Rhinolophus ferrumequinum: one gene and its partners. The protein of the gene in region 3 binds, or shares a complex with, the protein of the main gene of each other region. Links are inferred from orthologs where the notes say so. Each region holds a gene or a part of one and is shown on either strand. Other genes may lie near its edges. The genes, in order: MORF4L1, KAT5, MEAF6 and MORF4L2.

Region 1 (8,305 bases), on a different chromosome or scaffold from region 3:
AAGACTGGAAACAGGGAGGCCAGTCAAAGACTTCTCCCAACAGCTAGGGGTAAGCTAAATAGGCCTGAACCAAAGCAATTAGGACAGCTTACCAAAAGTAAAGCACAGCAAAGCAAAAGTACAAAGAGTTTAGAACAACTCCCAGGCTGGTGAGAGCATCACCATAACAGAAAATGGAGGAAAGAGGGGTTCCAGATCAATTTTGGAATATGTTTCAGTGGCTACAGTATATCCAAAGTGGAGCCATCTAGTAAGCACTTGCGTACGCATCTGGGGCTCAGGAGAGAGCTGGGCTAGAGCCACCGTTGAATATTGTGAGCAAGGAGACCATGGGGATGTAAATAAGCTAATAAACAGCAGCACCAAAGCTCAGATCTGTGGCTCATAGCTCCTCTCCAGGTACACTTTAAAAGCACCCTGAAAATGGCCTTCCTCCTCACCATCCTTTTGGCTGCCGCCACCAAATGCACTGGGCTTAAGCCCTTTGGCCTCCATTCTAGCTACATGGCCCTAAATCTTCTGTTGAAAAATATAGGCTGGCTGAAGAGTTATGATCCAGGACAACATATGCCTGATTTTCATGAAGTAGTAAAAAGAAAGACTGGTAATTGCGGGAGAAAGAGGAAAACCACGTATTAGATGTTGTTTTTTTTTTAAAAAAAACCTTTCTCCACTCTTAATCCTTTTTAGTATCAAACTACAAAGGTAATTCTGCCCAATGCTCTCAAATTCAAGGTTAATTAAGATTCCAAACCCCCTTTCGCCCACTGGTTTGTGCTTACTAGGAACTCAAAGGCCAGCATTAGCCAGTCTCTTAATTCCTGACACAAGGCAAAGGGCCTTCCCTTTGACAATGGGCCAGGTGCTCGAGTTTCTTTACCATATGCTTTAACAGAATTTCAAGTGGAAGACCAAGTGCAAAAAAAATGTGCTTTTAAAAATTGCTTATATAACGTAAGTTGCACCATTGTTTAAATGAGAAAAAAATGAGTTTTTAAAGGAATCATGGAAAAAAAAAAAGAAAGGAATCATGAAAAACATACTTCTAATAAAAAAAAATAAAGGAATCATGAAAAACATACTTCTAATAATTCATATTTCCGCCATTACATAATCTCAATTCTTCTGCAGTGTTCTATTACAATTGTCAGCACTAACATAACATTCCTTTTTCCTTACGACATATCCTCTGAACATGTCATATAAATAATGATAATTTCTTAACGATGGTTATTATACAACTCAGCTTTGACAGGAGAAGAAAACACATCTGTAAAGTGATAGTAAAGGCAGACTCTCTTAGGTAGCTTTCAAAAACCTAAGGGAACCCTGGTTTCCACTCTTCTCTAATTCACCACTATTGCAGCACACGGACTCATTTGCTGTTATTCCCCTCACGCTGCCATCCCCCTACTTCAGAACTAAAGCACTTCCTCCTCAGAAAGTTACCCGACAATTCCAATCCTCAGTGATTTTCCTCCTTTGATGTCCTAAACTAGGGATTAACTTTTTGTATCATCGACCCTTGACGATCTGGTGAAGCATATGGGCCTTTTTTCCAGAATGTTATTATAAATACATAAACACAGAGTATGACAGGAAACCAACTATATTGAAATAGTTAGCAAAACATTTTAAATATCATTTTCTGTATTACGTGAGCTCAACTGATATAGTAAACATTTAGCTACTGATCCAGTAACTAGCATAATTTTGAAGTAATGAGGAACATAAATGACACTGAATGTACCTTCTGCAACGGTAACGTTGCGATATGAAAACATATTGCTAATACTGAGGCAGACGGCTAGAGGCAGGAATTGTAACAATCCCACCGCACGGGTTTTTTTTGGTGTGTGTGTGGGGGGGCTATATTCCTAATTGAAATAATTTTCAGTTAGACAATAAAAAAATGTTCCCGTCCAAGTTCACGAATCTTCTGAATTACATCCACTAGAATAAGAATCCTGCTCTAAAATAACAAGTAAAAAAATATATATATATATATACCCATAGGAGGTAGTCCCAGCTTCTCAAGGTAGGAGAAAGCGGCTATTAGGAGCCCATCGTTATCAAAAATACCCTTAAAAACCTCTTAAATATTCCATAAAGTTACAAAATACTTGGGCTTTGGACATAGGACTCTAAAAGTAATTCTAAAACACACGCAAGTTTGAAAACCCCTACAACAAAAGACATTGTTTTGCGGCCGTCTCGACATCTGTGCTCAAGCAGCTCGCACATCCACAGCAACGAGGTACGTTTCAGAGCGTCCCTGCTTGTTTACAGGTCTCTGCTTCCATTTTCCTTTCCTATGACGTCTCCACTTGAACACACGGTAACGGACGCGTTAATCGTGAACTCAAAGGGCTGTCTTCCGCTGCAGGGCAGGTTCTGCCGTCAGCCCAAAACCTCGTCGATCAAAAGCCAATTAATCCAAACTCACTCAGCTTCCTAACCAGTTAGTCAAACGCCACCGCCGTGAGTCCACTGCGGACTGGAAGGATGACGCGAGGGCACCAGGGTTCGTGAACAGACGCCTCGTAACACACCATCCGAGCGGCTTTCTCTTCACGAGCAGCCGCCCGGCGAGAGCGCACTCGACCGCCGGGCCGCCAAGCGCTGCCTGCAGGCAGCACAAAGCCGCCGCCGCCGCCGCCGCCCCGCGGAGGCGGGCGCAGGGCGACGCCGGCGGCCATCTTGCGGCGGCCATTTCACGGCGCGGCTCTCCCCAGCCCGGGCGCCCCGCCCGCCCCGCCGCGGCTCGGCGCCTCCAGCCAACGCCGCCGCCCCGGGCCCGAGGCGACCCCGAGCGCCAGCCGTTGTCCGCCCCGCGGGGGCCCGCGCCCCTCCCGCCACATCGCCGCCTCCGCGCCGCCATGGCGCCCGTCCCTCCCGCCGCCGCCCCCACACAACACACGCTGAGGGAGGCTCCGCCGCGCCCGCCGAGCGCCTTCGCCTCACAAAGCGCTGCGCCCGGGCCGCGCCCAAAGCCGCGCCGCAATGCGCTTCTGCACGAAGCCCCGCTCGGCCCCTCCGCGCCACCGCCCCGCCGCGCCCGCCCGCCCCGCCGCCGTTAGATGCCTCTCCCAAGGCCCAGACTCACCCTCCTGGAATTTAGGCTTCGGGTCCTGCTTCGGCGCCATTTATAGGGATTCGCCGCCGCCTCCTCCTTCTCCCACCACTCGCACTACCGCCCCCCACTCTCCAGCCCACCCAGCTCCGCGTCAGACGCCGTGGGCAGCGCCAGCTCTAGATCCCGGGCGCGATTTGCCGGCGCCTGCACACCTCACACAGCCGCGACTGCGCAGCCGCGCCTGCCAACCACCGCCCACCGCGCACGCGCCCTGCGCCGCGCCGCCCGGGGCATGCTGGAAGTGGTAGTTCCAGCCGTTGAGCGGGCGGGGAGGGGCTCCTCCCATCCCCCATCCCTCATCCCCCAGCCCCGCAACCCGGGTGGGTGAAACCCGGACTGATTCGGGGCAGTGTTGGGGCGCGGTGCTGGAGGCGGTCCCTCGCCAGCGAAAACGAGCTGGAAAGACCCAGTGTGCAACCCCACGGGCGACACGGGCCAGCAGGATGTGGCATGAAAGGCCTACGAGGAAAGATGCGTCTAAACACTTTCAGTACTTCCGACGGCATCTCTAGGGGTATCCGCGTGCGTGTGGCAGCGTTGGGGACCCGCGGTCCGGCCACAATCTGCGAGCTCGCTGCCAGCCCGCGCGTGGCTTGAAGAGCCCACCCGGCGGGAGGCAGGAGACGATGGCGCGCTACCTGCCTTCCCAGTAGGCCGAGGTGAATAACGACCTGTAACACCCTCCTCCGAGTCGGGTGCCCACCGCCCCACGTGCGCAGCCTTTTGTCAAGTTTCTGTGAGCTATTACTGAATGTACACACACATCGTGAACGGCTGACCACACATTCAAAAGGCCTTAGGTTGCTCAGCTGCCGAATCGACTTATTGTGAGAATTGCACAAAAAGGCTGAGTGCCTAACAGTGAATTCCTCGCTCGACAAACGTGAAGGAGGACAAGCCTCAAAGGCATTCCACCAAAGGCCCTCGACATCCCCCCAGGCCTTCAGCTTATCTCCATGGCTTCCCTCAACTCCCCGAACGGCTGAGCACCCCACTACTTGCAGACCTCTCTCCATTTCTCTGACTCCTATTTCTCCTTCAGTCTTCCTCCTAACACAAGCCCTTCTTTGAACACCCACAAAGAACCCTCATTCCAGTTGTCTACACACCATCTTGTCTGTCCTAGTCCGCAGAGTATCAACGGAAGAGGCAAGGGCCTCTTTGTGACCCCACCCACCGCACCAAAACTGCCCCGTACACCTCTTCTTTTGAACACAAAATACTTCAAAATAATTCAAATTCAATAATCCATAATTTTAAAAATATAAAAATGAAGACAATGAAAAGTTTCTTTCCCACCTCAGTCCTTTACCCACCCATTCCCCCAACATCGAAACAAAACCAGTGCTTTTCCCAAGGCTTTTGAAATTAAATGAAATGGAGATAACAATTACTTAATAAGGAAAAAAACATTACAATCAAAATTGCCACCCACTAGAACACTGATTATATTGTAGTTGGTGATCACGTAGGGTGGTCACGTGGCCGAGCCTACACCTGAAGAGAAAATCCTTGAGCCACAGGGACGGCCAACAAGAAACAAGGAGATAACAAAACCAAAATCGCAGGAGAGATGAGCGGCCCAGGGAAAGTTTCTAAAGTAGCACATGCACACTAAAGAGCTGTCGGTATAGTTAACTTTTCCTCATTATCACATTAAAAAAAAACCTTAAGGCGGAGATTTAAGATGAAACTTGCAATGAAGTAGCGCTTGTAGGTATACTGCACAGGCGCAGGAAAGGACCCACCTCAACAAACTTTGGCGGGGAGGGAGAGAGAGGAAGGGGTGACTCCCAACCCCAAGAGCCTAGAAACCTGCTGTATCTGTAAACCTCAGGGAGCCACATCCATTCTCTCTTGGAGTCTGCTCCCTTTGTACATCAAGCTTTCGCTTTAATAAACCTTTCTCTCTGCAAAACTATTTCATCCACTCTCTTGATTTCTACCCTGAGAGGGGCAAGGAACCTAGCACCAGTAACAAGATCTGTTTTCTGGGGCTATCATAACAGAGTTCCACAAACTGAGTGACTTACACAACAAATGTATTGCCTCACAATTCTGGAGACTACAAGTCCAAAGTCAAGGTGTTGGCAGGGTTGGTTCCATCTGACCACTGTGAGGCTGACGCTGTTCCGTGCCTCTCCCCACTTCCATGGTTGCTGGCCATCTCTGGTTTCCTTGGCTTGTAGAAGCATCACCCCAATCTCTGCCTTCATCCTCACATGGCGTTCTCCTGTGTGTCTGTCTCCAAATTTCCCCTTTATATAAAGACAACAGTCAAACTGGATTAAGAGCCCATTCTACTCCACTATGACCACATCTAACTAATTACATCTACAACAAACTTATTTCCAAATAAGGTCACATTCTGAAGCCCTAGAGGTTAGGAATCCTACATACGAATTTTAAGAGGACACGATTCAACCCATAATGCTGGTCTTCAACGTGAAATGGATATGTGACATCTTCCCTGACCTCTCACCAGCTGGCGTCTCTCTGCCATGGGTTGCCTTCAGAAAGTTTCTACTTCACCTCCCATCACCTAGCGATGAAGGACTACTCTGTAATAGGGGTACTTAGGGATCTTCATTTTTGATGCTGAAAATTTCCATGTCTTTCTTCCAAAGTCTAAAATTGTGTTTGAATTGATGATAATAACATATGGTAATTGTGGAGAATGCTTGACAATTACTGAGAATGATGGAAAATAAGACAAGGAAAGAATTTGCAGGTGTTAACCTAAAAGCAAAGTTTTGCCACAAGAAATTGAGTTCTTTTAGGAAAACATGTAGGAAAATATAATTACTTGTTTTGAGATATGTTTTAAGACAAAAATGGCCAAGGGAAAATTCTTCAGTTTGAATTACTAACTTAGGGAAAACAAAGGATAAAAAAGTCCTAAGGTTCTGTTCACAAGAGCCACCTGACTAGCTAACTAACACAATATTACAGTGGTTTAAACAGCCCATAATAATCACTAGTCCTTACTTAAAGGAATTTACAAATGTGAAATTAATATGCACAGTGAATCCTGTGAAGTAGAGCTGATCTCCAAATTAACCTTCAATATCTCACAGTATTAAGTTAAAAACACATTTCAAACGTTTTGACAGAGATCACTTCCGCAATATTTAGGAACGCCACGGTTTCACTATTTTTCCTGTCTTCTTATTCCCTGACCTTTGGCACTCCACTGTCCTTCAATAGACCACCCGGTGACAAATATTTCTCTACACCAGATAGCCTTTAACTGTGTATTTATAAGATGAAATCGCCTTATAGTTGCACGGTTCCCTCTTTTAATCTGTTCAATCTTAGTAGTTTTTTGTCCTGTGTTGTTTGAAAATAGACTCCAGATTGAAGTCCGTTATTACCATTGACGAGAACTGAAGCTGGTAAAAAATGATTACCGCTGACGAGACCTAAAATGCAGCTGGAAAACAAAACTGAACGAACCGCCGCCCAACGTGGGGCTCGAACCCACGACCCTGGGATTAAGAGTCCCATGCTCTACCGACTGAGCTAGCCGGGCAGTCAGGAAATGTGCCATTCCTAGCTCACTTCAAAGGAATAAGATTATTTTAACTTGCTCTGAAACTGACTTTTTGCATCTTTTTTTTTTTTTTTTTTAATAATTGTTTTCAGTAAAGTTTTTCACTACTTCCAAATGTGCGTTCCATGCCTGGTTCTGCGCGCACAAACTTACTGTTCAGAAAAGGCACAAACGGCCCTCTAGCGGTCGCGGCGCAGCGGCGGGTGCAGGTGGTCCCAGACCCCCGCCAAGACCAGACGCCAGCGGGAACAGCCAGTTCACCCCGAGATCCCGGGGCGAAGTACACGCCTGTGGCGCGGACCTAGGGTGCCCGACACCCGTGTGCCCGATGCACAAGCAGGAATGCCTGCGCCATCAGCAGAGAAGACTGGAGACCAGAACACGGCTGAAAAGGGGCCTTCTCGGCCCGTGTGGCTTTGAGGTTCCTGGGGTTTTTCTAGGGCCCGACGGTGTTCTACTCGGCCGTGCCCTGTTGTTCACACAATAGACGATGATTCAAAAGCTAAAGCAGGCTCTGAAATCAATTGAAAATACCATGTAGCAAAGAAATGCAAAGACGTTCCGTGCTCATGGATTGGAAGAACCAACATAGTTAAATTGGCCATATTACCCAAAGCAATATACAGATTTAATGCAATCCCATCAAAATTCCAATGGAATTTTTAAAAGAAATAGAACAAAAAAATCATCAGATTTTATGGAACCACAAAAGACCCTGAATAGCCAAAGCAAGCCTAACAAAAAAAGAACAATGCTGGAGGTATCACACTCCCTGACTTCAGCTTGTACTACAGGGCAACAATAATCAAAACAGTATGGTGTTGGCAGAAAAACAGACACACAAGCCAATGGAATAGAATTGAGAACCCAGAAAATAAAACCACATAAATATGGACAATTTTTGACAAAGAAGCAAAAAACTTATAATGGAGAAAAGAAAGCTCTTCCATAAATGGTTCTGGGAGAACTGGAAACCCACGTGCAAAAGAATGAAACTGGACTGCTATCTGTCACCATGTACCAAAATTAATTCAAAATGGATCAAAGACCTAAGCATAAGACCTGACACCAAAAAACCTGCATAGAAGAAAACATAGGTACTAAACTTATGGACCTTGGGTTCAAAGAGCATTTTATGAATTTGACTCCAAAGGCAAGGGAAGTAAAAGCTAAAATAAATGAATGCACTATATCAAACTTAAAAGCTCTGCACAGCAAAAGAAACCATGGACAAAATAAAGAGGCAACCAATGAATGGGAGAAGGTTTTGCAAACAATGCCTCCGATAGGTGCTAATATCCAAAAATCTACAAGGAACTCATACAACTCAATAACAAAAAAACAAACAACCCAACTGAAAAATGGGCAGAGGACCTGAAGAGACATTTCTCCAAAGAGGACATACAAATGGCAAATAGAGATATGAAAAAATGCTCAATATCACTAATCATCAGAGAAATGCAAATAAAAACCCAACGAGATATCACCTCACCCCAGTCAGAATGGCTATCATAACAAGACAAATAGTAACAAGTGTTGGAGAGGCTGTGGAGGAGAAAAAGGAACCTCTATACACTGTTGGTGGGAATGCAGACTGGTGCAGCCGCTATAGAAGG
Region 2 (8,240 bases), on a different chromosome or scaffold from region 3:
TAATATAGAACCAGCAGTTAAAGCAGCAACTTCCTCTCAAGCTCCCCCAGCACCCAAGCCAGAGCTCTCCCCCGCCAGTCAAGATGCCTGCCTCTCCCCCAGCACCCTCTGGACCCCAGGAATGAGGAAAGTCTCTCTTAAGGGTCCCTCCAGATTACTCCTTCCTCTCCACAGCCATAGACTAAGGCAGGTTTGAAGCGCCAAGCCTATGGTGTTCCCAGCTCCTCTCCAACTGCCATTCCCACCCACCACTTGAGCTCTGTCCCTTCTAACAGCCTTGCCTCTTTCTCTCTGCCCTTCAGCCAGAAGGGTCTTTGCCTGTCACACCACCTGTACATCCACGCCTGCCCTTCAGGACCCCACTGCTTGGGACTCCCTTGCCCACCTTATTCTTTATGTCAAGGCTCATAAGTCACCTTCTCTGTGAAGCTTTGATGACTAGCTCCTCTGGGTCCTAACAAGCCACCCTTTGTTTCATGACATTTATCACACTGTTGGCACGTCTATTTTCCCTATGGACTGTGAGCTCTCAGCAGAGATTTTATCCAATTCCTGGTTGTCTATACCTCCCAGCACCTGCCCTACAGCAAGAACTCAATAAAAATGGGTGAACTGATCTGCTGGCCAGACTGTTCAGTGTTTTCCTGAATAGGAACAAGGTGCTCATTTGACTTTCCCCGAACCCCAGCTCCAAGATTTCCCTATTGTCCTTCAGCCACTGACCTTGTTCTTGCGTCCATCGATCTCAAAGAAGGAGATGGTGCCCTTGCGGTAAATCTCATTGCCTGGAGGATGTCGCAGGTCACACTTGGTCTGAGGAAGAGAGAAAGGTCAGGGGTGGGGCAGGGTGGGGGTGCTAGGAGGGTGGCCTCCTGGGACCCCTCATACCAAGTGGCGCTGCAGACACTTGAGGCTACGGCCATACTTGAGACAGAACTCGCAGAGATAGAGGACGGGCAACGTGGTGAGCTCCTGTGGGTACGGGGAGAAGTACCACGGCTTGAGGCGGTGCCGGCCCAGCTCGATGCACTCAATGTTCTTCATCCGGGTGACGATGTCGTCGTGGCTCCGGTCGGACACCAGGCTCCCAGTCATGCGCGGGGCTGATGGAATTCCATCTGAGCTGTCCTGGGAGTCCTGCTCAGGGCCAGTGGAAGACACCGTGTTACGGGAAACACTACAGCTCCCCCACACGTTTCCTTGTTCAAGCCTAACCTTCGAGGGAAGTACTATAGTTCCCACTTTCCAGATAAAGAATGCAAGACATGGAAAGTTTTCATTCAAAACTTGGGAAAGATCACCCAATGACCGATCTGAACCAGCTCTGCCTGGCTCCCAATCCCAGCAACACCATGGCTGCCCAACACTCCTTATTTTTAAACTAGCCACTAAACTTGCCACCCCGCCCACCTCTCCTCCTTTTCATCCAGCTTCCCTCTTCCCCAGACCTACCTCATCAGTGCCCAAGCAATTTGATTTTCGCTTCCGTCCTGGCTGCGCTGCAACTGCCCTACGGGCTGATCCATTCTGTAGGTGAGATGGTAGGAACAGAAAGGGTGGCTGTGAGGTGAGTCTGAAAGGGGCTACCGGGAGGTAGAAGAAAGAGATGGTTTGGAGGACTCACCTGGGGAAAAACTGAGGCTGGGGCTGTCTCGCTGGGCACTGGAGTTGCTGGTGAAACCACCTCCACCTTCCGTTTCTGCAGAGAGAAACCAAGAAAGGTGGGTCAGAAGGTAGAGAAGGTGGGACCTGAGAGGAAAGCAAGGTCCCTGGAATTGCTGAGGGTACCGTTGAGCGGTGGTTGGGCTGCAGGCAGGAGCTGGAGGAGAGCGGCTGGTCGGGCTCGCCACCGGGAATGGCCTCCCGCTCCTTGGGCAGGTTGAAGCGGAGTGTGATCTGGACCGGGATTGGCAAGGTCTTCCCGCTGGCCTGGGTGGAGGCCGGCTGTAGAGATAGGTCCAGGGTCTTCCTCTGGGGTGGGGATGGTGGTAGGATGGGGAAGGGGAATAGGGGCTCCTCAGCATGGAGTGATCAAACCCCACCCGCTGCCCTCTCAAGGACACAGGAATAGCCGCTGGACTCTAGAAGCTACATCTGCAACTTGGCCCCCATTCTTTACAAGCTGAAGCCAGGGTGGGAGGGTGTGGCCTGCTCCAGCCCATCCAGGAGCCACTGAGGCCAAAAGATGAGAGAAGTAGGAGGCAGAAGAGAAGAGGTGAAGTAGGGGACCTACTCACCACCTCTCTCTCTGGAGAGCCGGGGCGGGACCCAGGAAGTCCGTTCTTGGTGGGGGTCTTGGCCTCTTTCTTGGGGAATTGGATCTTCTTCAGGTCCAGCCTTTCGTGGGTCACCCATTCATCCAGGCGTTTGTTGACTGCAGCAGTGGGGATGTCTCAGGAAGCAATGCCAGAGACTGCCTCCCAACCCTACCCTGCAGCCCCTCCTCACCCTGGCCCAGCACTCACAGTCAATGTAATGTACGTAGAAAAGCTTCCGGCCACTAATGTCCTTCACGCTCAGGATCTCGGCCAGGGCTGTGGGAACAGCATAGGCAGGGGCGTTAGACCCGCCAGGCCATGAGGCTCCACCTTCCTAAGACCTGAACTCCACCCCCAGGCCTGATCTCTAAGCCCCAGCACTTGGAAGCTATCACCCAAGCCCCCTTTAGTCACCCAGTGCCAACCCCTCTCCACGCTCCGCCCTGTCCATCTCGGAGTGGCTAAAAGCCACGCCCCTCCTGAGTATCTGCGCCCCGCCTGCCCCAGAATTCTCGAAGCCCCTCCCCCTCCCAAGGGTTCGGTTGACTCCCGCCCCTCGCCCTCAGGTTCTTAGCCCCGCCCCCCGACGTCACTCACGCCACTCATCTTCGTTGTCCTGGTTCCGCCGCAGCACCGGCAGGCGGCAACCTTCGATTATCTCCCCCTGGGGAGACAGCGCGGCGCCAGGGTCGGCTACTGGGGGGCCTCGGGCTCTACCCACCTCCCCTGGCTCCCTCCGCCCCGCCCCGGGCACCGGACTCACCACCTCCGCCATCTTCCCTCCCTCCACTGACACTTCCGGCCCCTCTGGGAGACGTCACTTCCGGGACTGAGTGTGCAGTAGGCCCGGACCACCGGACACCGCCTTAGAAGAGACCCTTGAAATACACCGCCGCCCAGCTGGAAGCGGGGAACCGACCTGTTTGGGGGACGGGAAAATAGGGTGTTTTAAGTCTCGGGTTGGGTCCTGGGAGGAATCTCCATAACGGGCACAACGATTGGAGGAAAGCTGAGTCTGTCACGTGACGCCCACCGGGTGCGACGCCGGTCACGTGGACGCAGCGCGGGTCACGTGGGCGTAGTGTTTGTGCTTTGGGGGTGGCGGGATTCCAGCGTCTCTAAGTGGCGGTGGGAGAGGTCACTCGCTGTGAACTGCGAGTGCTCGCGGGGGCGGGGGGGGGCGGGTCTGGAGAAGTGGGCGGGACTATGAAGGGAGTTCAATGCCTGGCCAAGTTTGTGGATTTCATTCGTTAAGGATGGGGACTCACGGAAGGTTTCTAGATTGTTTTCTGTATTAGGTTTCTCACTATAAAAGTAATACAACATTATTCATTCATACATTGAACAAATGTTTAATAATGTAACGTGTGCCAGGCACTGTTCTAGGATCTTGGAATACATCAGTGAATAAAATAGAACCCTGCTCTCATAGAGCTTACATTGTTGGGGGTTGGGTTTATATAACAAAAGTAAATATATTAAAAAGTAAATTACTTAGTTTATTCAAAAGTGATTGGAGAAACCAAAAAGAATGAACAAGGTAAAGGAGATGGGCAGGTTGGTTGCAATTTTAAATAGGGTGCTGAGGGCAGGACTGATGGAAGTGTATATACTTAAGGAAAGATTTAGAGAGGGAACAACGGAAGAGCCTTGCAAATAGTTGGGGGTGCAGGGGACGTGGGGCGGAGTACTGTTTCAGAAAACTAGACCACAGTAGGGGGAGAAAATAACCTCAGATCATCATGGGGGACATTTCCACCATGAACATTTTGGTAGAATGTCCTGTAAACTAGGGGTGGGCAAACTAAGGCCTGCAGGCCAAATCCAATCCTTTGCTAGTTTTCCTACAGCCAGTGAGCTAAGAATGGTTTTGTATTTTTTAATGGTTAAGAAAACAAAAGAATATTTCACAACAAATAAAAATTACGAAATTCAAAGTTCAGTGTCCACATATAGTTGTATTGGAGCATAGCCATACTTTTGATTCATTTACTTTTTGTCTATGACTGCTTTCACACTAAAATTGAATAATTGTGTCTGAAATACAAAGCCTAAAATACTATCTGGCCCTTTACAGAGAATGTTGGCCACCCCCTGCTCTATAAACTATTGTGCTATCTTTTGAATACAAAAATAGGTTCTTCCTGTATATACTGTTTTGTGACCAGCTTTTTCACTTAGCAACATAAATTGAACACTAGTCATTAAATATTCTACAGCACAGTTTTAATGGCTACATAGTGTTTCGTTATTTAGATGCACCTTAGCTGCCATAACTAGTTGCCTGTTAGCTATTGTTTTTTTCTTTGTTTGTTTGTTTTGTTTTTCTTTAAGATTTTATTGGGGAAGGGGAACAGGACTTTATTGGGGAACAGCGTGTACTTCCAGGGCTTTTTCCAAGTCAAGTTGTTGTCCTTTCAATCTTAGTTGTGGAGGGCACAGTTCAGCTCCACGTCCAGTTGCCGTTGTTAGTTGCAGGGGGCGCAGCCCACCATCCCTTGCGGGAGTCGAACCAGCAACCTTATGGTTGAGAGCCCACTGGCCCATGTGGGAATCAAACCGGCAGCCTTCGGTGTTAGGAGCACAGAGCTCCAACCACCTGAGCCACCGGGCCGGCTACATCTATATATGTATGTATGTACGTATGTATGTATGTTTTAAGAGGAATGTTGGGGAACACTGTGTTTTTCCAGAACCCATCAGCTTCAAGTTAAGTCGTTTTCAATCCAGTTGTGGAGGGCACAGCTCACTGGTCCATGTGGGAATTGAACCGGCGATGTTGGTGTTATGAGCACTGTGCTCTAACCAACTCAGCCAACTGGCTGCCCCTCTTCAATCCATTTTGAGTTAGTTTTTGTATATGGTGTTAGGTAAGGGTCCAACTTCATTCCTTTGCTTGTGGCTAGCCAGGTTTCCTAGCACCATTTGTTGAAAAGACTGTCTTCATTGAACAGTCTTGGCACTCTTGCCAAAAATCATTCAACCATGTATGTGAGGGTTTATTTTTGGGCTCTCTATTCTGTTTCATTGGTCTATATGTCTATCTTTATGCCAGTACCACATTGTTTTGATTACTGTAGCTTTGTAGTAAGTTTTGAAATCAGGAAGTGTGACTCCTCCAACTTTGTTCTTCTTTTTCAAGATTGTTTTGGTTATTCAGGGTCCCTCAAGGTTCCATATGTACTTAAGGATGGATTTTTCTATTTCTGTAAAAAGAGAATTGAGATTTTTTTGACATGAGAGAATATGTAAGATGATTGAGGTTAAGTTAAAACCCTGTAGTCCTAAACTTGAAAAGGAGATATGAGTATGAATTCCTGGTGCATTTCATATAAAAATATACATACTCATATATATTGCCTAACTGTTCACTGAAAAGGTCCATAATGATTGACCCACTAGCAATAAGTATCCCTAGAACTCAGACTGTGGTCTCTAAATACCATTTCCCAGTAAAAGGAATCAGAATTCCTCAGAAAGCTGTCTGATTCCAGATCTTGGACACTATTGGAATTGTGTCAAAAGGACCGAAGAACCAACTTCAGAAGGTTCCCAGTGGCCAAAGATGGAACAATTTGAACTTCAATAAGAATAATTAAAACAGATTAAAGCATATCAAGTGTTTAAATCCATGCATTAAGACTTTTTTAAAATGCATGCATTAAATTTTGGAGGATGCTAGAGAACCAAGGCATTATTTTGAAAATTGATAATGGGAAATTCTATACCCTAATAAATCACTTTTAGGTATATACTGAAGAAAACTCCTGGATACATGTACAACAGGAGACAGTCACAGGAATGTTCTTAACCACACTGCTTGTAATAGTGAAAACTGGAAGTCCAAATGGCCATCCGCAGGATGAATAAATAAATAACCTGCGGTGTATTTACACAACAGAATAGTATGTAGCAGTAAAAAGTGAATGAACTATGAAACATAAACCTTAGTAATATGTTGAGTGAGAAAAGCAAGTAACAAAAAACAAGATACTCTCTTCATAGAAGTTCAAAAGTAAGCGAAACCAAGCAACATATTTGTGTAGCCATGTATATGAGTAAATTTTTTTTCTTTAAAAAAAAACGTCAAGGGAATAACAAACAGAGAATTCTAGATGGTGGTGCCCTGGACACCGGGATGAGGGGATGGACAGATGTGGAGCACCGAGATAGATGTAAGTTCTGGTGGTGTCCTATTCAGCCCCTTGAGTTTTACAGTCAGCACAACAATTCAATTTATTGATTTGTTACAAATATATATGAATTTTTTAAAAGAGGATCATGCAAGGATCAATGATGATTGTGTGTCATTAACCAAAGATTATAAGTAACCCATTCTGTGGACTTGAAAAGTCAGCCTCCTCAAAAAAGTAAACTGACTTTCCTAATCCTGGCCAGCCACAGGAGAAACTGAAATGAGTGGGAGGGGTGGTAACTATTTTCACTTTTCTTTTCCTGTTTTTTCAGAGCCTGGTAAAGCAAGTCAGAATTTCCAATCTTTTCCAATTCCCATAAGATTCCTTAATTTAGAACGAATTCAGAGAAAATAAAGTCTTTTTCCATCTGGAGAAGGCTCCACCGCCTGCGATGGAGCATCCTCATTCTGGGATGAGGAACCGGTCGGGGGTGGAGGGTGCTCCAGCCCCAGCCTCCACCCTCATCCCGCACGAACGCCGCCTAGGGCTTGAACTTGGGGACAATATCCCCCTGAGGAATCACATGACAGTTAATCAGTGGAAATGGTTTAGCCGACGGCTGGTCCCTTGCAGGAGGTCCTAGGGAGACGACGGGCGGCGTGGGGTGCGGCGGCGAGACACGGCGAGTTCTAAGCGGCCCCTGGGGGTTCCGGACCTTCTCAGATAACAGGCGTCAGGTGGCAGAGACGAGGCTCCAGTTGATATACCCCTGGGCGCCTTATGCTTAACCCATTGCCACCGAGGGCCGGCAGTGTGATGCACCTTAAACTGGTGTTTGAGTTGGAAGCGAGAAGCTCTCGGCCCGGTCCGCCCGCGATAGCGGACGCAGTACGGAGCTTCTGTCGCCCCTTGCGTGCAGCAGGACACGCTTAGCCCAGTGACCAAAGCACCGCCATGTGAAGAGGTCCGGGCCCTTCCCTTTTCCCTCCGCTGCATCTAAATTAGTGTGGATGGGAAATTTAAAAAGTACTTCTGCGGCGACAATCACCAAAAGACACCTTTTAGCGATTAGGAAACTGTGAAATTCAGTCACTCGGCCAAAGACGGAGTAGGCACGGGCCTTTCCCTGAGCAGGGCTGGCGGCAGGAGCCCAGCAGTCGTAGGTTTGCTCCAGACCCGGCCCGGGTGACATCACCAAACTCCTCTGATTGGCGGGAGGGGGCCCCGAAATCCCCTAAAAACATTGTGAGTAATCGCCGGGTCCGCCCTCCAGGCGGGGCCCAGACCCAGAAGCAAGCCGAGCCTCCCGGCCAGCGGCCTCCGGACCGACTCGGTCTCTGGAAAGGCGCACTTGCTGCCGGTCTCCGGCAGCAGCGTGCACGCTGCCTCTCCGTCCTTGGCGCAGCGCCCAGTGGTTCCCGGCCCCACAGGGGGCGGCGGCGGCAGCGGCAGCGGCGGCGGCGGCGGCGGCGACGGCGAGGCGCGCAGGCGCGGCTGCTTCCCGGCAGTGACGCGGCGGCGGGCGCGCGCGTCGCATTTCCGCCTCTGGCGAATGGCTTTGCTGTAACGCGCGCCCCGGGCCCAGCTGCGACCCCGGCCCCGCCCCCGGGACCCCGGCCATGGAGGGTGAGGGCGTCCTCTGTTCCCGGGGGATGGCCGCACTGGGGCCGGAGGGACCGCGCCGAGAGCCTCCGCGCTACCTTCCGCCCCTTCCTGCGCGGACGGGCGCTGCGCAGGGAGCGGCCGGCCGGATGGTGGCGCGGGGCGGGGCAGGCGTAGAGGGGTCTGACTCATTTTCCCCTCTGGGTGGAGGGGCCCTTGACTCAGTATTTTCCTTGGGTGGAGG
Region 3 (7,767 bases):
TCCCAACACCGATTTAAAAATAAATCCACGAGTCTATAGTGATACTAAAGAGAGACAGAGATAGAATGAAAGGGAGAGAAGATAAAAGGGGAAGGCTCTTCTTTCAGAATACCAGTAATAAATGTAAAAGGAACAGTAAAATTAGAACCACCATTTTGCAACCTCCAGTATAATAACTGATTCAGGTAGGAATCAACAATGTATAATAAAACCAGTGAATAAAATTTGTGGGGAGCAATATATTCCCACTGTCTAAAAGTATAAGCTCCAAAATTACTTGTCAATTACAAAGAGAAAAAATAAGCTTTCATAATGGAGAAATCATATCATCAAACTTAGCAGCACCAATAATGGGGCAATCTGACATTATGTGCTGCCTAATAAAATAAAGGTAAACAAGAGGTACACAAATCACTAATGCAACATTTCTGCCAAAAATGTTTAAAGGATCGCTCATGAGGTCACAGTAAGAAAAATCTAGAATTGGGACAATCTACAAGACAATGTTGTAAACCACAACTTCACCAACAAAAAGGGTGGAAGACGCTCTTATTAAGAAACCAAAGAAACATCAATGCAATGAAAAACTTTGACTGGATCAAAACAAGGTAGCAAAGCATGTTGGGGACAATTAGGGAAATGTGAATAAACACTGTGTGTTAGAAGATACTTTTAATGTAGTGCTAATTTTCTAGACATGATAACTGTGGTTAACTAAGAAAAATGTTCTTATTCTTAGGAGATAATTGCTGACATAATTAGGGACAATGTGTCATGATATCTGTTTCTAACTTTTAAATGGTTTAGGGAAAAAAAAAACCCAAAGTATAGGGCAAAAGGGAGATACAATCACACAGGGGTAGGGTAGCATAACAGATCTTTGTGGTGATGGAACAGTTTTGCATCTTGATTGCAGTGGTGGTTATAGGAATCTATACACAATGATAAAATGACAGAACTACACACACACATTGTACTCGTTCATTTCCTGGTTTTGATATTGTACTATAGTTACACAAAAACCACTGGGGAAAACTGGGTGAAGGGTTCATGGGACCTCTCTGTAGTATTTTTGTAATTTCCTACGTATCTATAATGATTTCAAAATTTAAACAAAATGTTTTTAAAATGTAAATACAGGTATGTGTGTTTATATAATAGTGAGGAAAAAGAGAAAAGAGCAAGAAAGTAAATGCAGCAAGTTAATCGGTGAATGTCGGCGAAGGGTTTCAAGTGTTCATGTACTATTCTTTCCATTTTTCTATAGATTTTAAAAATTTCAAAAAGTTTAGAAAGTTTTCAAGACTAATAGCACTAAATAAATAGTGGTAGGGTTGGCACACAGGTCTGGCAAATATTGTGACGGTGGAACTCATGACTGCTTAAAATGTGGAAGACACTAAGAGAATGCTGTTGTGTAAGGTAGGATAGGCTGTATTTCATTTCAGCTTCTCACACCCCTGTACTATCGACCAGTCTATGGATGTAGGCTTTGTCTAGGATGACTCAGCGAGGCTGAGCCAGAGTGCAAAGTTCAAGCGCAAACCTCTTTCCACACTGCTACTTAGTTCTGCCTCCCTGCAAAGTTGCCACCAATATATACAGCATTAAAAACAAGTATTAGTAGGTCACAGTACAAACACTGTACTCTTTCTGACACTCACTTTTGATTGGTCAGATACCTATCCCAGCCACGAATAATATTGCCATACATCTGAGTGTCTTCCAGGTAGCTTCCTTCAAAAGCATAGATTTGTCTCTCCAAGTTTGCCAGTGTTTCCTGAGAGATGAAAAACAGGGAAACGGATAATGCCTTTTAAATGCAAACATTAAGTCTGACCAAACTGAAACCTTAATATTAGACTTAGAAACTCAAGCACAACTACACTCAACTACCCTTGTGGAGAGACAGATGGTATGTGAAGGGACAAGCTGTTTCAGACTAAGACAGTCTAGACCTGTCTTGTTGGATCCTTTTGAGAATAGAATGAAATATAGAGAGCCTGTCCCCTGAAAAATGTACATACATGCAAAATTTTGTGTATACTTCAGAGGGTTCATGGAAACACAGCTGTCAAAAACCCCAGCTCAGGCAGGCTCCACTCATAAAAGGTAATGCCAGTGGGGAGGGAAGGGCGAGTAGCCTTCCAGCGCCAAGTCGCTCCCCTCCCCGCAGGCTCAAAAAGGCTGCCTGCAATGGTCAGCCAGTTGCTATGGAAACTTGGAAGGGCAGCTTCAGGTGAGATGAGCCTCCCAGGTGCCCAAGCCAAGACTCAGGGGGGTAGGGAGGGCTTAGCCACCAGGGTGCATGAGACCTTGGGTCACATTCCTATTCCCTAGATTGAATCCGCTCCCCTCGGCTGTCACCTTCTAGATATTCCCAAACACATCACATCCCTGCCCATCAAAAATTCCATCCAATGGATCTACTCCTAGTTCCCAAAAGGACATGCGCCCCTCCATCCTCCAAAGACCAGACTGGATGACTGGGTCCCCCTTCCACAGACGCCTCCTACCCCACCCCGCCAAAGCCCACAGGCAAGCCCGAACCAATCCCCTACAGCCCACCGACACGCCCGCCCCCCCCACTCAAAGATTGCGAACCCGCCCGCCCTCACCCACCCCCAAAGCTCACGGACACTGCCTTTCTGCGGCTCCCACACCTAAGCACCCCAGCCCCACGCGCCATCCTTCCTCCACGCCCCCCGCCCGCCTAGTCCCCCTTCCCCGTCTTCCTTCCTCTTCCTGGCTTCTCGCCCCGCCCTCGGGGCCCGGGCTCCCGCATAGCCAGGAAGCCGAGGCGCCGGCGAGCCGCGGAATGCGCAGCCCAGCCTCGGGCCGCCGGACTGTCGGCCGCCGCGCAGCGCCCTAACGGCCTGGCGCGCCGGGGCTGGGGCCTGGAGGTGGGGGCAGGCGCGGATCCTCCGCCGTGCGTCCCCGGTGCTAGCCCCTCACCGCCAGCTCCTGCTTCCTCTTCACGAGCTCCGCCAGCTCCCGCCGGGTGTCCGGGATCTGCGGCGGTGCCGCCTTGTTGTGCATCGCCATGTTGGGCTGAGGCGGCAGCGGCGGCGCCGGGTGGTGGGGGCGGTCCCTGCCCGCCGCCGCCCGCCAGGGGGCGCCCGCGCCGCACTGCGCCTGCGCTCGCGGCTTCCGGAGACGCGGCCTGGCGGCGCTCTGGGCCTCGGTCCCGCGCGCGCTCACCTGGAGGCCCGCGGTGGTGGGGCAATCTGCTAGTCTTGGCACTACAGGCATTTCTGCCCCTCAGGGACGGCTGACTTTTCCAGGCGCTGCAAATTCACCGTGCCAAAACCAGACTCCTCCTAAGTCACATCAGCGAATGACTTAAACGGCCCGCCGAGTTGCCCAAGTCAAAAACCTGGGCATCAGCCTCATTCCTTCACCCCCTTCATCCCATACAAAACGAAGTTCCCTGGACCCTGGAAGAGCCCGCAAATCTATTTACTTGTGTTTGCCATCTCCCTCGGGCATCCCGGCCTTCCCTATTTTTGGCTACATTATTCCAACAGATTCCTGTTTCCACACTTAAACTGCATTTAATCTCTCATCCACAGTGGTGCCAGGATAACTTGTTTTTGGAAAACGAATGTGTCGCTCCCCTGGTTTCAACATTTCAATGGCTTCTCATTGCCCTTTAGAGAGACAAGTACTGTATGTGTGGTGGTTAAGAACGAAAACCGAAGCCAGAACTACCTTGTTCAAAATCCGACCTTAGCTGCCACTGATAAACTGAGCCACCTTGGGCAAGTAACCAAATTTCACTGTCTCAACTTCCTTATCTCTAAAATGGAGGTAATAATAGTACCTACTTAATACAATTGCTGTGAGGAGTAAATCACTTTATGTCTGTAAAGGGGCTTAGCAAGTAATAAGGACTATGTGAGTGTTAGCTTTATTCATTAAGTGCAGTCTCCTTCACTGTTTTCACCTGGGCCCTGCTTCTCCAGCCTCAGCGCTCTCCAATTTTCAGTTATGTAAATTTCACTATCGTTAATCTCGATAGGATTTTTTTTCTTCTTTTTTCTCTTTTTTTCCTTTCTCCTTCCTTCCTTCTTTCCTTCCTTCCTTTCTTTTTCCTTCCTTCCTTCCTCGTTTCTTCCTTTTCCCCTTACTTGGAAGTCTTTGGGTTTCTACAATCTATAGTTTGGTATCTTTCACCAGTTCTGGGAAATTCTCAGCTTTTTTCCTTCAGATAATGCCTCTGCCTCATTTTCTGTCTCCTTCTAGATTAAACATAATAATCCTTCATTTTGTTTACCCACTATCTTTTTTGTCTCTCTCTGCTACAGTCTGGATTTCTTTTGTGTGTTGATCTTGTAACCTGGGATCTTGCTGAACTCCCTTATTAGTTTCAGGAGGTGTTTTTGTAGATTCCTTGGGATGTTTTACACAGATAATCATTTCCTCTTCAAATTGGCAGTTGTATTTTTTCTTTTCCACCCCGTGTGCTTTTTATTTCCTTTCCTTTCCTTACTGTGCTGGCTGGGACTTCCAGTTCTCTGTTGAATAAGAGTGGTCAGAGTGGACATCCTTAACCTTTTCTCTGTCTTAGGAAAGTAGTGTCTTTCACCATTAAGTGTGATGTTAGCTGTAAGGTTTTTGTAGATGCTCTTTATCGAGTTGAGAAGTTCGCCTCTATTCCTGGTTTACTGACAGTTTTTAATTATGAATGGTATTGAATTTTGTCAGATTCTTTTCCTGAATCTGAATTTTGTCAGATTGTGATTTTTCTTCTCTATCCTCTTGGTGTAGTGGATTACACAGATTCGTTTCCAAGTGTTGAACCAGCCTTGCATATTTGGAATAAACCCCACTTGACCATGTTGTGTAATTCTTTTTATATATTGCTAGATTCAATTTGCTAATATTCTACTGAGGATTTTTGTGGCTAAGTTCATGGGGTATTGGTGTGTAGGGTCTGTACTTTCCTGTCTGACTTTGGTATCAAAATAATAACGGCCTTATAAAATAAGTTGGGAGGTATTTTCTGTTTTTCTAATTTCTAGAAAAGAAGGTACACTATGGTGCTAATTCTTCTTGTAATGTTTGGTAGAATTCTTCCACCATTTGGGTGTGGATATTTCTTTTCAGAAGCTTTTTAATTACAAGTTCAATTTCTTTAATATCTGTACGACTATTCAGATAATCTATTTCCTATCAGGTAAATGTTGGTAGTTTATGGTTTTTGAAGAATTGGTCCATTTCATCTAGCGGCTCACGCTGGCTGCTGGCCACTCATGGCAGCCCAGCTCCAGGGAGAGCCGTTGTTCACAATCTTAGCTGTAGAGGGCGCAGCTCACTGGCCCATGTGGGAATCGAACCGGCGACCTCGGAGTTAGAAGCATGAGCCACCGGGCCAACCCGTTATTTCTGTTGTTTCTCACCTATAGTGCCTTTTCTTGTTCATTAATAAAAATAATTGTATCTTTGGGGGGAAATGTGGAAATAACTAGAGGGGAGATAAAAAAGTCCCTTCCTCCAAAGATGAATTTCATTTGTTTCAGACACCTGGAGGCACCGGGTCATCCTAAACCAAGTTCAAGGCCCGAGGTTTCCTGAGCTTCCAGGCTATAAATACCTGGGAAGATTCAATTTCTGATCCACTCTTTTATTCTAAAAGTTATAGACCTCTGATAGACCAGCTTTTTGTGGGAATCATGTTCTATTAGACTATTGCCTGTGGGCTTTGGGTTTTGATTTCTGTCCCATTCAAGCTAGGGTAAGATCTGATTTCCTAGAATCAAATGTGGTTTGCCTTTAGACCAAATGTGGCTTCCAGACATCTACAGTCCATTTCTCTCTGGATTCTTATTTATCTTCACTTTTTGCCTAACAACTGTTTTATTAATTTGTAGGTTCTTGAATGCTTTAAGAAATTGTTTTGCTTATATTTTATCCAGAAATTTTAGCTACTTTCAAGCAGGAGGGTTCAGAAACCAGAAAGAAGTCTCACTCACCCTTTTTTCCCTGTTGAACTTCAAGTGCTTCCAAAGTTTCATTAGTTTGTTACTTCAGATCTTTCTGAGTGCTAGTCTCTCTGCCTAGAAATTCATATTCCTTTCTTTCCTCATCCCCACTGGCCTCTTCTGAGTAACTGACTAAGGCTTGGTTGAATACTATTTCTCTGTGCTTATTCTCTGTGCTTATACTTATTCTCTTCCATAATCCCCACTGCTTCTCCTCGCTAGCACTGTTTGTAGCTCTAGCACTGGTTATATCGCTCTTTGACGGCCAGATCTTGTTAACTCTCATGGCTCTAAGAAGCAGTATATCACAGTGGTTAAGCATGTGGCATCTGGAACCAGGGTGACTGGGTTTGAATCCCGGTCCTACCTACCACTGTGTGACTTGAACAACTCTGTGCCTCAGTTTTTGCATCGGCAAAATGAAATGATAAAAGAAGCCTGCCTCGTAGGATTATGAGGAAGAAGTGTGAAGGTATCAAGGTATGCATCAATGTACATGTAAAATGCTTAAAACTATGCCTTATACATAGAAAGTACGCCTAAGTTTTAGCCAGTTTTATCATTGAGGTCTCAGTTCATGGCAATTCTCAGCTACCTGATTATTGAACATTTGTTTACTTTTATGAATCAACATAATGATTTCCAAGCAGCTCTGGCTATGACTTGGTGAGGTGAGGATTTGCCTGAGCCCCTCATTATCCCTGGAAATCCCAGCCATTGTGATTTCCTTGAACCCCCTATGAATGGACAGCCTAATGCACCAGCTGTCTTTTCCCTCCTCAGATCTCTTCACTAAGCTCTGCTAGGGAGATGGGAAGCCACAGTCCAGAGGAAAGACCACTGAACCAGGACTGAGGTGGGTTCTCATCCTAGCTCTACCACTAATTTGCTGTGGGTCTTCAGGTAAACAACTTAATGTTACAGGATCCTTTCCACATCCTCCACTCCAGCTCTGCTGTCCCCTGGACTGCTCAGTCTGAAACAATGCCCTCCTCTACTGATGCAAAATCCACTTCATTTCTAAGGCATACCTTAAATGCCATCTCTTGCACATGGTGCAGCCCACCTCTAAATTATTGCTCCCTGCTTCTAACTCACAGCTGTAAATCAAATGCGAGCATGGTAAGCTTATGCAACTATTGATTTAGTGAATTAATTCACTGTAAAACTTTAGAGTACATGTGAACAAATTAACTGTCTTAAAATTGTTTCCCATTTGATAAATATACTGGAAACTTCACCTAGGAGACCAAATGAAGCTTCCAATTCCAAAGCTTTCATTTCAATCAAGTAGCCTTTTCAGTTGATGTAAATTCACATACCCAGGACCATCGTGGTCTGAGAACGTCATCTCACAAGCAGTCATTGCTGGTGTGTGGTGTGTCACACTTAGGCTTTGATTAATATAATTTCATTCCTCACATCCACAGATTTCCACAAAGGGAAGGATGTTAAAAAATATCACCATTTGAGTACAATATCAATAATCAATCTGAAAATGTTAAGTTCTAAGCCTTTTAAAACCAAGCTACATGTCTATTGTATACTGACATACTCAATACAAATTTTTTTTTTAAATTTCAGTTGTCTGAATTGATTATTGTGCTTTTACTTATCACCAGGATACAATAAAAGTATTTGAAAGTTACATCACCAGCTGTAGTTAATGAGCTGTCCTTTGTCAATATTAGAATGAGGGAACTAGATGACTAGAAAGAGGTTTTATGGGGAAAATCTGAACACTGTCCCCTACCTTGGCAGGACTCAGACCACCAGAGGATTT
Region 4 (7,744 bases), on a different chromosome or scaffold from region 3:
AGTGTGTATGTATGTAAAACAGGATATACCAGAAGGACTAATAGAGCCATAATTATTATTAAAGCAAACACGTGTCAAACACTGTCCTGATACTTTATATGTAGGAACTATTATTATCTTTATTTTACTTTTGAGGAAATTTAGGGACAAAGTAAGTATCTTGCCTAGGATCATACAGCTAAGTGGCAGAGCCAAGATTTAATTTAAATTCAGTAAGTCAGCATTTGCTCTTAATCACTAAATTATGCTGCATATGGGATGCCACAAAGTAAGAAAAACAATATATGGATGTATGGAACTATCAGGGATCAATTGTAGTATCTTTTATCAAGGAATGTAAAATTACACAGTCCTCTGTTTTTTAGGCACTTTATATACTGGAAGCACCAATGGACTCAGCTCCACCCTACTCAGAATTTAGAGTGATTTCCCAGATAGACGCTTATTAATCTTTAAAATATTCCTGGACAGTTAAGAAGGTTATGTGGAATGATCTTGCTTGAGAACTGAGGCCAGGAGAAGGGAGACACTTACCTAAGATTCTGTAATCAGGATCAGATCTTCTGATCCTTATTATACAGCAAACTTAGCTTTTCTGATAATGGCCTAGAAGGTTAAACAAGGGGACGGGAAAGGGCACAAAATAAAGAGATATGAGATGATGGTTTTCTTCTCTGTCAATCAATGCATTTTATCACACACAAAGGGCACCAAAGCTGATAAATAATGTACAAGTGTTTCTTTTTCAGTTCTTGTGGTTACATTTTCAAATTTATTGTATCTATCCTGATTTTTGATAAAGTAATTTGTTTTCGCTTTTGGTTTTTACTTTTCATTAGGGAAAATGTGAAATGCATAATATCTGAAATTATGTAGAAGGAATATTATAAACCCACAAGAATCTATCATCTAGCTTCAACAATTACCAACTGAAAGCCATCTTGTTTCATCCATAACCCCACCCACTGCTCCCCCCAACTCCGTTTTTAAGCTCACCAAATAACTGAGTTTCTGTATTTTATGGGAAATTTCCAACACATACCAAGGAAGACAGAACAATATAAGGAACTCTATATGCCTATCACCCAGCTTAAACGATTAACTTAAGAGCCAATTTTGTTTCATCTATACCCCCCCAACTTCCCCCTATTGCTGAGATTATTTTGAAGCAAATCCTAGTCATCAACGTATTTTGAAGCAAATCGCAGACATTTTATTATTTAATCCGCATTTTCGTATATATCTCTGTAAGATAGAGACAGTTTGAAAACATAACCACAATACCATTATGACGTCTTAAAAAATCAACACCCATTCCTTAAAAACACATCAAATATCGAATACGTATTCAAATTTTCCCGATGCATCTTAAACATTTTTTTTTTTTTACAGTTGGTGTGTTTGAATCAGGATCCAAACAAGGCCTACTCATCGCATGTGGTTCATCTCCAGCTCGCCCTCGTTCTCCATCTTTCTCCCCCTCCCCCCTTTTTTTAAACTTTTCAATATGGAAAATTCCCATCCCCGCTATTTTGAGGTAATTCCCAAATAGCATATTATTTCACCAATAAAGATAGTTATGTTTCTCTTATATCTCTAGTTTCTTCTAGGGAATAAGTTGATGGGCAGGAAAAGCACTATAATGAGCAAATTTACATAATTTGTTTTTTTCTCATTCTGTTACGCAGGTTTTTCTGTCCACAATAACAGTTAACATCTTTCGGAGCCAGGCTTCCCATTAAGTGCTTTATACGCACTAATATACATAGTACACGCCTCTGAGGTACACGTCTCTGAGGTAGATACTATTATTATCACCATTTTACAAACATGGAAACCGAGACACAGAAAGGAGCCAGCCCGAGCTGGGCGTTGGCGAGTAGGAATCTGAATCCAGCTCTGCCCGATCGTGAAGCCATGAGTTAATCTTGCCTAGATACTCGACGAGAAGAGGAAATCGTCAACCCTTTCTCCCCACCCCCACCCCGAAACCTGAAACGAGAATCCAGCTCTTTCCAGCAGCCGACGTGTGCTCACTGCCGTCCCTCGAACCGCCATAGTAAAGCCAGGTTTCTCTGGCAACTGATATCCATAGGCAGACACGTCACCCTGGAGGCGGGCTCATGACCTTCAGCCAATCACAGTCGTCTTGTCTAAGTTTTAGAATGTTCCATGACCAAATGATTGGACGAGGCCAATCACGTCACAATGACACTTCGCCGCAGTATAAGGGGGTGCTAGCAACCTGCTTCTTCATGGTTAAGACTTGACGCAAACCAATCATCTTCTCCCTGTAGTGCGGCTCTGGCCAATAACGTTCACCCTCTTAGGTTCTGAGCCCACCCTCCAAAATCGCAACTGTAGTTGGGTCATAAGTCTATAGGGCAGGGTGTTCACGTGGCCTATTTTCACGACCCAGAGTTCCCCTGACCAGAGGTTCTTTTTTTCTTTTTTTTTTTTTTTTTTTGCAGGGAGGCATTATGGGTTTTCATTCCCCCCACTGGGAAAGGAAGTGTCTACGTGGCCTGCGGAAACAGGATGGGCGGAAATGAGCTAAGGTTCCCGCGAGTGGGGAAGCGCGAGGTCAAATCTGGGGCCACGCCCCTGAACCACTTGCGCAACTCTTGGAGAAAAAGAGGCACAACGGGGGTGGTGGGCGTGCGGGCGCGTGGTGGTGGGGCTAGTGTGGATGTGCGCGGACGAGCTCGCGTGGTCTTGGGATTGGGGTGCGTGCGCTCCAGCCCTCGTGGCGCTGGACGCGGTGGGTATGCGCAAGCGTGCGCGCCTAGAGTCGGGGCCGGTGTGTCCCAGAGCGAGGATGTGCCTGCGTGCGTGTGCGTGCGCGGCGCGTGTGCGTGCTCTATACTGAACATTTTCTTATGTTTGAAAATTGTTCTAATGAAAAGGAAAACAAGCCACGGCGCCCATCATAAATAACGGGCCTTTGTTAGAAATATTTCGGTCTCCCCTATCGATTCAATTTTAGACCCTAAAAAATGTACTTCTCACTTTTTCCGGCCACAATCCTTTTCTAAACCGTAGCCCTCCGATGGTTAAGAGCCAAACAAACCCACGCATTCCCATATTAGCAATTCCAAGGAGCAGCTTTTCCTGTTTGCTAGTATCGTTCTTCCACTTCTTCCCCGAACCCCCCCCCCCCAATTCCGTGTAATTTTTCTGGCACAAACAAAATTTTCTGCTGAAAATATCTATACGATAGGCTTCCCCTCCACTACGAGCTCCGAATTTCTGTGGCGGCGGAAGCTCTCACCTTTTTGTCCTGATCTCCAAGCACAGTGCCCTTTAAGCAAGTACGCACTCAGTTAATTTTCCAGAAAGTTCTCTGGGTGAGGGTTATACCTCTTGAGTCTGCCACGAGGTGCCGCCAAATCCCAGCAAAGAATTGCCTATTTGGTCCCTGGAATGATGGGATTTTTATTCTCCCCCTTTCTGATTTCTGAACTCTTCAATCTATAGGGATCATGTATATCTTTCATTGCTAGGGAAAATCAAATTAGCTTTTATAAATAGCTCTAGACAGGGGACTATGGCCCTAGATCTAAAGGTTTTTTCATTTCTTTCCTCCTTAAAAAAAGCCCCCCTTCCATCCCTCTCTTCTTCCTTCTTTGCCTTTTCTTTTGGGGGAGGGGGGACGGTAAGAATTGATGAATGTCACCAGACACTAACGCTGATGAAGATCCTAACCTTTCTGTGCACTTTTTCAAATGCTCAATATCCCGTCCCCCCCCCCCAAAAAAAAAAAGAAACCCCAGAAAATAACAGGTGGCTGGTTAGTCAGTAAAGACAGATAAGAGCTTGGACCCTGGCATTGAAAACTGACCTTCTCTTCCTCTTGAAATTTTTATTAGATATGTGTGTTTGCGCCCTATTTTCTGTAGTGGTACTGCTAAACTTTATTACGTCTTTGGAGTCAGAGACCTAATTTTAAACCCCATTGCACCACTTACTAGCTCTGAGAAGCCCGGGCAAACGATTTATGTTCTGTGTTCCTTAGGTTTTTGCATGCTTTCCATATTTTAGATGCTGTGTCATATCCTTTACATATATGTTATTTTATTCTTCACAAAATCCTTATTAGATGGGTAATAAATCAAAATCGAACAACAAAAGTTATACCTCTTTCAGTTATCAATCATGCGCGCGCGCGCGCTCGCACACGCGCACACACACTGGGAGGGAGGCGGGATTTAGAGCAGTGGTTCTCAGTGTGTTTCCCAAACACGTCAGTACCATCATTATCACTTTTCGAGAAGTTGTCAGATTCAGATTCTCGGGCCCCATCTCAAACCTAGTGGATTAGAAATTCTAGGGGTAGGGTTTGGCTGTCGCTGTTATAACAATCTGTTTGGGTGATTGCAATGCACACTGAATTTAGAACCACCGCTTTGGAGGGCAGAGATGCAGTGCTTATTTTTCTTTGCTCCACTAGAGGGTGCTACAGAATTTAAAGCAAAATAATAAATGATATATGTTTTATTGAGATACCCTGCATATTATCAGTCCCGTTATACAGATTAAAAACTAATGTGTAGAGGTGTCAAATTATTTTCTCAGTGCATACAACTATGGGAACCAGGATAAGAATTTCACCTGTTTCTCGAGCCCAAGCCCTTGACAGTACTCTTTTGTTCAGCCATCATAGCTTATCTTTCTGGGCCTTAAAATACATTACAGATACCTTGTTCTCTGCTTTAGCTATGTTGACTGGAGCATCAAGAAGGGGGCAGGAAAGCAAACTAAATAAATGGAAATATTTTAATGATTTCATACTTTCCCTCATCTCCATTCTATACTATCACATTAAAGCTCATGTGTTTCCCTTCTTGCTTTTATATTTCCCAAATGCTCTCTACCCTGCAGTTATCTTTTTTAGTTTATTTCTGAACCTCTCCTATGTGTGTGTGGGGAATCAGGGTGGTGAGGAAACACAGTTGTTGCAAGCCTATTATGGGCCACACTATATGGCTCTGTGCCCATTAATCCCAACAATAGGCCTGTAAATTAGGTAAGGATTTTCATCATTTTATAGATCATGAAGGTGAGCCCCAGAGCCTATAATTATTTTTCTTTGGTCATATAACTTGTAAGAAATAGAGCCCGGGTAATTCCTGGTATATCTGACAGTACTACCCTGCTAAACTTTCTACTGCTTGGTTTTCAATGTGATTTAGTGTCGTGCGCAGAGTCCAGCGGGGTCTCTGGTCCCGCTCCCCACACAAGAACGCAGGATATGGCTAGGCCAAAAAGGAACACCCACGGAGCCATAGGTAGGGGAGTCACACCACTATACTCTCACTGGCGGCTGGGTTGGAGACACAGGAACCAGGAGCAACACAATTCTCAACCCTCACTGTGCCGCTTGCAGGCTCAGCCACCATCTTCTTGCTAGCCCCCATTTTCTCTTTTTGCTACTAGCCTAGCCACGGCAGTTATATTCATGGCTAATGGCTCACTGGTTACAGCTGATGGCCAACTAGCCACAGCTGCTGGCCATTTGATCACAGTCAATGGCCATTTACTACCTGAGCCAGCACCTTTCTATGTGAGGCCGAGAGCCTGGAAACTGCTTTTTGGGGCTCTGTCCCCACATTTAGTTACTTAATATTTATGTGACTTCCAACAAGTTCTTTAACTTTCCTGAGCCTTAGTTTCACTGTATATTAAGTGGGAATAATTATTCCTCATAATCTTAGAGCTGCAGTATCCAACATGGTAGCCACTAGACATATGGGTACTTAAATTTGAATTAAAATTAAAAATTCAGTTCCTCAGTTGCACTAACTACATTTCAAGGGCTCAGTAGCTACTTATGGCTAGTGTTAGTACTGGCGGGTCCCTGGGCAGGCCTCCCCAAGATAGCTCACAATGGCATATTGATTATTTCAAATTGAAATCACTTGAGAAGCAGCAGGAGCAGGAGGAGCTCTCTGACTCTCCAAAAGCAGGAAATAAATCTCCATGTAATAGGTGCTCTCCCTTCTCCTGAGGGCTAACAGACAACCTTATCACAAGAGTTATAAAATCCAGAATCAAAAAAGCCTATATAAACAAACTTTGTGAATCCTTTACTAATTTACTACTTAAGCCCAAACTGCTTAGATTCCTTTCTAATGAGCACTAACTTTCTTTGTCTTGTTCATTGCTCACAGAATTATTGTTTCTTTGTCTAAAAAAATAAAAAGGTGCCTAGTTTGATAATTTTTTAATTAAACTTATTGGGGTGACATTGGTTAATAAAATTATATAGGTTTCAAGTGTACAATGCTATAATACATTATCTATATATTGCATTGTGTGTTCACCATTCAAAGTCAGGTCTCCTTCTGTCACCATATATTTGACTTCCTTTTGAGCCTTGTTTTGTGACCTGAGCATCATATTGTGATTCTCTCGTGTGCACGTATTAAATTGTTTTTTTTCCCTGTAAATCTAGTCTTGTGTCAATTTTATTATTTTACTGTTGGTCCAGCTGTAAGAACTAAAGAAGGGTAAAAGTGGGGGATTCTCCTCCTCCCCAATGGTACCATATTAGATACCAAGAGATAAAGAACATTCCCACCATGACAGAAAGTTCTATGGAACAGTGCTGATTTAGACTATATAAGGTATGTAAAAGGGCCTAGCATAGTGCATATTCATGGCATGTGCCCAAGAAAAGTGATTCCCTGATCTTTCCTTTCAGCATCAGAGCTAGGCAGGTTCTCCGGTTTTATTGATAGGGTCAGGAGAGGGGAGTAACTTACCCAAGGTACTATAACGGGGATGCGTCTGCCATTAGGACCCAAATCTCCTGACTCTCGCTTCCATATTCTGTCTAGTAGACTCATCCTTGTGCTCTACTGACTGAGGTCTCAAGGCCAAGGGTGTGAATAATGTGAATTAACTTCCGAGTCAGGGTAGTAGCAGGAAAAGACACAGCTGAATGTCTTCTAGGTATGTGCCAGGCAGCACTGCTCAGCTCTTTACATCGATTGTCTTAGTGAATCCTCACTGAAGCCCAGAGAAGTTAAATGCTCACTCCAAGTTGCCAGCTAATAAATGTCAGAACAAAGATTCTGACTTCTCTCTGACTCCCAAGCCCATGTTTTTGTCCCATTGTGCCATGTTACCGTCTCAAATGTGAATACTCTCCTGTCCCTTCCACTTACTAGTGGGATGAAGCTTCAGCAGATTCCTGACTCTTAGTGGGTCCTCAAAATGGGAGTTAACTCTTCTTTGGAATTTACAGCTGAACCACTGTCTTCACAATCTGCTTCAACTGGAAGGGAAAGATAGCGTAAGTCAATGTTTGTTTGGCTTCAAGGCCTGAACAAGACTATTTACAGCCCCAGCCTTTACAGAACATTCAGTGGCTCCAAGATCTCTATGTCACTTTTCGAGGCCACATTTGCTCATTCAATCCCTTTGTGCTGATCAGAAGCATGTGACACCTGGGGGGCAGATATTGTGCAAACAAATGATCAGTGGAACAATGAGAAAAATACTTTTCCTTCTCAGGGATGTTGGAGCTTCACCAGGGCAGCTGAAGAATGAATTTCAACCTCCACTTGTTCCATTTCAGTTGGGTAATCTTGTGCAGGGTGCAACCTTCCCTGGCCATCAGTATCTGCTGGCTTTGCGTATCTTACCTCGCGGCTAAGAGAGCCTTCCTAGGTCTGGAAAGTAGTGCTCAGTCTGTTCTGGAGGGTGGTCAGGGACATCAGTGTCCTCGCCTGTCTTCCGG

What was found.
Region 1: MEAF6 (region 3) and MORF4L1 share a complex: the UniProt entries of both Homo sapiens proteins name them as parts of the nuA4 histone acetyltransferase complex. The link is inferred for Rhinolophus ferrumequinum from reciprocal best matches to the Homo sapiens genes MEAF6 and MORF4L1.
Region 2: MEAF6 (region 3) and KAT5 share a complex: the UniProt entries of both Homo sapiens proteins name them as parts of the nuA4 histone acetyltransferase complex. The link is inferred for Rhinolophus ferrumequinum from reciprocal best matches to the Homo sapiens genes MEAF6 and KAT5.
Region 4: MEAF6 (region 3) and MORF4L2 share a complex: the UniProt entries of both Homo sapiens proteins name them as parts of the nuA4 histone acetyltransferase complex. The link is inferred for Rhinolophus ferrumequinum from reciprocal best matches to the Homo sapiens genes MEAF6 and MORF4L2.

Annotation. Positions count from the first base shown.
Region 1 is NC_046311.1:885,123-893,427, reverse strand, and holds the start of MORF4L1 (mortality factor 4-like protein 1), read right to left. Parts: upstream 3,295-8,305; 5' UTR 3,147-3,294; coding exon 3,107-3,146; intron 1-3,106. UniProt on the Homo sapiens protein: Component of the NuA4 histone acetyltransferase (HAT) complex which is involved in transcriptional activation of select genes principally by acetylation of nucleosomal histones H4 and H2A.
Region 2 is NC_046294.1:6,048,642-6,056,881, forward strand, and holds the start of KAT5 (histone acetyltransferase KAT5), read right to left. Parts: upstream 3,049-8,240; 5' UTR 3,034-3,048; coding exon 2,856-3,033; intron 2,535-2,855; coding exon 2,466-2,534; intron 2,375-2,465; coding exon 2,238-2,374; intron 1,972-2,237; coding exon of another isoform or gene 1,945-1,971; coding exon 1,789-1,944; intron 1,700-1,788; coding exon 1,625-1,699; intron 1,528-1,624; coding exon 1,453-1,527; intron 1,138-1,452; coding exon 889-1,137; intron 814-888; coding exon 724-813; intron 1-723. Other genes in the region: RELA (transcription factor p65), read left to right, coding at 8,014-8,020. UniProt on the Homo sapiens protein: Catalytic subunit of the NuA4 histone acetyltransferase complex, a multiprotein complex involved in transcriptional activation of select genes principally by acetylation of nucleosomal histones H2A and H4.
Region 3 is NC_046292.1:26,211,039-26,218,805, forward strand, and holds the start of MEAF6 (chromatin modification-related protein MEAF6), read right to left. Parts: upstream 3,109-7,767; 5' UTR 3,046-3,108; coding exon 2,956-3,045; intron 1,781-2,955; coding exon 1,665-1,780; intron 1-1,664.
Region 4 is NC_046284.1:51,249,450-51,257,193, reverse strand, and holds the start of MORF4L2 (mortality factor 4-like protein 2), read right to left. Parts: upstream 3,291-7,744; 5' UTR 3,272-3,290; intron 2,176-3,271; exon of another isoform or gene 1,993-2,175; intron 607-1,992; 5' UTR 535-606; intron 1-534. UniProt on the Homo sapiens protein: Component of the NuA4 histone acetyltransferase complex which is involved in transcriptional activation of select genes principally by acetylation of nucleosomal histone H4 and H2A.